2 linked regions of the Saccharomyces cerevisiae S288C genome follow. Changing the gene in region 2 together with the main gene of any one other region gives a genetic interaction. Each region holds a gene or a part of one and is shown on either strand. Other genes may lie near its edges. The genes, in order: AAD4 and BIL2.

What was found.
Region 1: mutations in BIL2 (region 2) and AAD4 together harm fitness more than expected from each alone (negative genetic interaction), as found in Saccharomyces cerevisiae (one large-scale study listed by BioGRID).

Annotation. Positions count from the first base shown.
Region 1 is NC_001136.10:17,077-20,454, forward strand, and holds AAD4 (putative aryl-alcohol dehydrogenase), read right to left. Parts: upstream 1,491-3,378; coding exon 501-1,490; downstream 1-500. Other genes in the region: THI13 (4-amino-5-hydroxymethyl-2-methylpyrimidine phosphate synthase), read left to right, coding at 1-150; YDL242W (uncharacterized protein), read left to right, coding at 1,883-2,236.
Region 2 is NC_001139.9:464,223-466,956, forward strand, and holds BIL2 (Bil2p), read right to left. Parts: upstream 1,214-2,734; coding exon 821-1,213; downstream 1-820. Other genes in the region: KAP122 (Kap122p), read left to right, coding at 1-689; PUF4 (Puf4p), read left to right, coding at 1,919-2,734.

The sequences.
Region 1 (3,378 bases), on a different chromosome or scaffold from region 2:
GACTATGTCTCGAACTACACTAATGAATACCTGTCCTGGCCAGAACCAGAAGAGGTTTCTGATCCTTTGGAAGCCCAAAGATTGATGGCTATTCATCAAGAAAAATGCAGACAGGAAGGTACTTTCAAGAGATTGGCTCTTCCAGCTTAAACGCACTTCGTCACTCCTCGAGCGTAGCCTTCCTCTACGACTTGTTTATGATTTCCCATTAGGTTTTTTTTCCTCCCTGATATTTAGATATTTACTATTAAGATATTATTTATGAGCCTTTTATTACAGCTTCTTTTCCCTTGTAATTATCGTACTTGCCTCCAAGTATCGAAAGTCTTGTGTTGCCTCGATTTACCACTTCAAATGCTGTAACCTGCACAATTTACGCCTGAATTAGGTGAGGGATAAAGACTGTTTTTAGGTGCGGCTTATTCAAAAGTATAAAAGTAGATAGCGTGGAATATATAAGGACATATTTCTTACACAAACGCACCAAAAAAGAAATCTGATTAATCGAAGGAAATCTGCGCAGACATTGCCGTGAGAAGTGAAGCCTTCTTGGTAACAGCCGGATCATCACCGATAAAATTAGTAGGAAAACCAACATCAAAAGGAATAATACTTTCTAAGTATTCTATCTGTTCTGGTGTCAGTTTGATACTTAAAGCCTCAATGTTCTGTTTGAGGTGTTCAATTTTCCTTCCACCAACCAATGGGAAAACATTTTTCGCCTTAGAGCGAACATAGGCAATAGCAATAGCAGTAACAGACTCAGTGCCATGTTCCTCAGCAACCTTGGCCAATGCTTCACTGATCTTAACCTCTTTATCCGTCTGTTTAGAAGTACCCGAAACAGTACGCAGACCCTCTCCATTCTTCTTCCGTTCCTCCATTGCTTTTTTACTCTGAAATCTTCCACCTCCCATAACATCCCATGGGGCTAGAGCCATACCAAAATGTCTGGCCATTGGAATGATATCGCGCTCAAAGTCCCTGTTCAACACATTCCATTTACCTTGATAGATACTAAAAGGAGTTTTCCCATGAGATGTGGCGTAGTAGTTTGCCGCAGAAACAACCCAAGCAGGTGTATCAGACACACCCAAATAGAGGACTTTGCCCTGCTGAACTAAAATATGCAAACTATCCATAACTTCTTCGATTGAACTCATATAATCCCACCAGTGAACGTAAAGTATATCAATCCAATCAGTTTGCAATTTGCGGAGAGAATCCCTCACACTCACATGTAAACTATGCTTGTGATTACCACAATAGTTGGCACTTTTACCGCCACCTACTTCATACTTCTTATAATCTCCGGTAAACTTGGTGGCAATTACAATTTGGTCACGCAACTTTCTTGATTTCATCCATTCACCTATCCAAATCTCTGACTCTTCATTTTGGTAACTGTTTGCAGTATCAATGCAATTACCTCCTGCTTCATAAAAAGCATCAAGAAGTTCAAAAGCCTGTTCCTTATTCATAGAGCCCATAAAGCCTGACCATGCATCGCCGATTGAAGCTCCTCCCAGAATTAGCGGTGAAACTCTTATGCCGGCAGTTTTAGAAAGAACCCTGAGACGTCCCAACTCGGTAGGTGGTTCAGGTAGAGGTTTAAATAATTCACTAATATTATTGAATAATATTTTGTAGCTATAGGAAGTGTATTCTAGTGAAATACAAAGCCGCTCAGTCAATTCGTCAGCTGGCCGATGAAAGGAAGAACTGCAACTGTCCTTGATCTGGAAATATTGTCATGACTTTTATATGGTTCAAAAATCTGCCCCCAATTTGTTCGAGGATATTTAGTGCAACTTAGTTGGGTCTTGGAACGAGGTCTGCTTACTAATTTTATGTTGACGGTTGAAAGCGGATTTTAAAACGTATGAATTTAGAAGAGAGCCAATCAAATAGGGGTACGCTTAATATTAAAAAAATATTAGTAATTGTTTGTATGACGAATAAAATTTGTAAGCACCTGATCCAATCCTTATTATTGAGCAAGAGACGTCTTGTTTCTGTACTCTTTGATAACTATCAAGGCGACATGAAACTAAGGTCATCTCCATCTGCCATTCCTCTAGTTCCGTCAACGAAAATTCTTCAAGCTATGGAGGCCCGGAACGACATTGTTGACAGTCTGATCATCAATAGTCACGCAACGGAAAGTGATCGCCGGACTTTAGGAGACCATGAGGTTAGACAATGTGAGGATACCAACTTCGGCTTCAAAATTTGATACAGGTTAATTTTGAAGGCAACATTTAGGTTCGGCCTTATTTAAAAAAACCTTCAGGTACGCGTTCAAGATCCCATTTTAAAGGTATAGGCAGATTGCACTATTTTACCGGCAAATGTGCGAATATCGAAACTGGAAGATGTTTTCAAGAAAATTGATTTAAGATCCATTTGTCGTGTTTAGAGTTCTCATTGTTCTGGTCAATGATTTCAAACTCAAAAGGCACAAGAAACTTACAAAATTTGTTTCTTATGAACATTACGCCATGTTCTTTGCGAGCATGTGCTATACAGTCTTGCTAGAAAATGGCCCTATAATTAGAAAGCTCAAAAAATAACCCAATGCTGCATCGATTTTTGGAGAAAGGGGGTCAATCATCATCTATCTTCATAAATAACGAGTTGCAGAAAAATTGGAAACTGGTTGATTTTGAAAAGTTTTCATTTTTCTGGCAACAAATTATAGCTACAAAAAAAGAAGTTATGGCGCATAAGATGCATCAATATATGGTGTGACCAGATTGGACGTAACTAGTACTCATGTTATTATTCATATCCTTCATTTTTCCTTCTTTTCTTCTCCTTCTCGAACAGTAACTTCAGATTGAAAGACGTGAGGATGCTTTAGAATGCACATTAAAATTAATATACTACTGGCCTCTTGTGTTTGTCATTGGCTTCTATTTTCAATAAAACATCCAGACAACCCTGCTGTTAATTTTGGAAAAAAAATTTCGCCGATTCTAATCATGTGACTCCTTTTCCCCAGGCAATACCGGAGAAAGCGTTCTATCTCAAACTATATAATTTGCGCTGCTCGTCTCCAAGCCCATGCTAGTGTTTACTTTCGGTTGTAAAAGGTAACTAGAAGTTTTAACGCAAGCATTGTATTATATTTTCCCACAATTGCTCTTAAGGACCTTTTTTTTTCTTGCGTGATCCTGCACTATTGAAAAGTCTTTATCAAAAATAGATGAAACTTTTTCAGGGTTCAACATTTAGAGGCTTTTCTCATATTCTTTACTCAGTTGCCTGCGAAGACCCTTCTGCCCGCTGCGCATTTTCTTAGAAAATCAAAAAAATTGCCTTTTCATCTTTTACCTTCCGAGTTGAATATGTTGACTATTTGCAAACAGGCGTATG
Region 2 (2,734 bases):
TGAATTTTGTTTTGCGGCATGTCCCCAACTGTGAGCTTGCTACTTGCTTGCCTTATTTTGTTTATTTATTAGAAAAGCTTATTTCAGAGTTCAGGAAGGAACTAACACCACAAGAATTTGATTTCATGTTTGAAAAGATCCTTCTAGTCTATTATGATGCATATATTATCAATGATCCGGACCTTTTACAAATGACAATAGGTTTTGTTAATAACGTTTTGGACGTGAAGCCAGGCTTAGCTATTGGCAGTAAACATTGGACATCATTTATTTTACCTCAATTTTTAAAATTAATACCTTCAAGAGAAAAGTTCACAATTGTTGCGGTGGCAAAATTTTGGACTAAGTTGATCAATAATAAGAAATACAACCAAGAAGAACTCACAACTGTTAGGCAACAAGTTTCCTCTATAGGAGGAGACCTTGTGTACCAAATTATGTATGGCTTATTCCACACACAAAGGTCCGATCTGAATAGTTACACAGATCTGCTAAGAGCTTTGGTAGCCAAGTTTCCAATTGAAGCAAGAGAGTGGCTCGTTGCTGTTTTGCCCCAAATATGTAACAATCCTGCAGGTCATGAAAAATTTATTAATAAATTACTTATTACGAGAGGAAGCAGAGCAGCTGGAAATGTTATTTTGCAGTGGTGGTTGGATTGTACCACACTTCCAAATTACCAAGGATGATTTGTTAAGAATTTCTCCGCTGAGGGTGAAGGCTATTCTTTGTTACATTTTATTTAGTAATGCGTTGATCCTTTTTGATAGATTTTTTTTTTGTGCTTTAAAGATAGTAGCAGTATATATGTGTGTAAAAGCTAATCATCAGAAGTGCAGCATTCATTGCTAGTATTTAGTGATAAAAATTTTAGAATTTCCATTTCTAATTGTAATTGCTTTTCATTCCAATACATGTTTGAGCTTCTGGGGGGTAAAAATACATTTCCAGACAGGGCGTCAGGTTGAAAGCAGTTACTGAAACATAGAGAGTCGACGTCAGGAGGAGGCTTCAAATGGTTTTCTGAAAGTGATTCGGTCTTATTTTTCCATTTTCTAAAATGGTGAATCCTTTCTCTGGAAATGTGTGATCCCTTTGCCTTTTGTGAAAACTTTTTTAACGAGCTTTTTAGGTTATTAGTTGTCTCAAGAAGGTTTATGGGCCCGCTGGTCTCGATATCTGCGTAATTTAATGGACGTATCGTGTCTTCCATGGAGTGAATTGTGATTTGTGAATTATATCTGTCCAATACCGTTGCCTTGTTGGGAGCTCAGATAGAAAAGACATCTTAATTCCAGACAGTCTATTCTCTGTCTATTTCTCTTTGTGACTGCAAATTTTAATTTGTGACGCCTTTTCTTATTACTCATGTATTTGTCACTCTTGACGATTGTTTTTTTTCTATATTTTTTTTGTTCTGGGGTCCTCCAGAGAATAAAAAATAATGATCAATATAGTAGATAGTATAGTTATATTCTTATTCGTTGCACCTTGTTTAACAAATCACTCAGACTCAAAGAGAATATCGGTTGGTTATCTCTCTCCGAAGGTGAACAGCAAACAGTACCTCACGTCTTTTTTTTGAATAGTTTTTTTTTTTGTTGAAACAGAAAAAAAACTTTCTTCCGTATATTACATTGTACATTATTTTTATTGTATTTTAGTTTCCAACGTTAGGATTTGAGCCGTCATTAATATTATTCGTTTTTGTACACTATTCCAGACGATTTATTTTTAGTACACTTAAAATTCCTGTTGATATTGTCCACTAGTTCTCTTTTCATATTTTATTTTCGCTTATTCTTTAGGTTCTTTTAAGAGTCTCTGTTCATTTTCCGTTCTTACTGTTTCTTTGTCCTCGATATCTTTTAAGAAAGAGAGAACTAAGCGCTGTAACATTTTTAAGTGGACCTACGTTATGTCTACAAAAGGTTTGAAAGAAGAAATCGATGATGTACCATCAGTAGACCCTGTCGTTTCAGAAACAGTCAATTCTGCTTTAGAGCAGTTGCAACTAGATGATCCAGAGGAAAACGCCACCTCTAATGCATTTGCGAATAAAGTTTCTCAAGATTCTCAATTCGCTAATGGCCCTCCGTCGCAAATGTTTCCACATCCACAAATGATGGGTGGAATGGGCTTCATGCCCTACTCTCAAATGATGCAGGTTCCTCATAATCCTTGTCCATTTTTTCCGCCCCCTGATTTTAATGATCCAACAGCACCATTGAGTAGCTCGCCCTTGAATGCAGGCGGTCCACCAATGTTATTCAAGAATGACTCACTTCCATTTCAAATGCTGTCTTCGGGTGCTGCGGTAGCAACTCAAGGTGGACAAAATCTAAACCCATTGATAAATGACAATTCAATGAAGGTATTGCCAATCGCATCGGCTGATCCGTTATGGACTCATTCAAACGTACCAGGATCAGCATCTGTAGCCATTGAAGAAACCACCGCTACTCTACAAGAAAGCCTACCATCTAAGGGCAGGGAGTCTAATAATAAGGCTAGTTCGTTCAGAAGACAAACTTTTCATGCTTTATCACCAACTGACCTTATCAATGCGGCCAACAATGTAACCTTGTCAAAGGACTTCCAATCTGACATGCAGAATTTTTCTAAGGCTAAGAAACCGTCTGTAGGAGCTAACAATACTGCAAAAACCAGAACTCAATCCATATCTTTTGATAATACTCCCTCCTCAACGTCATTTATACCCCCAACCAATAGT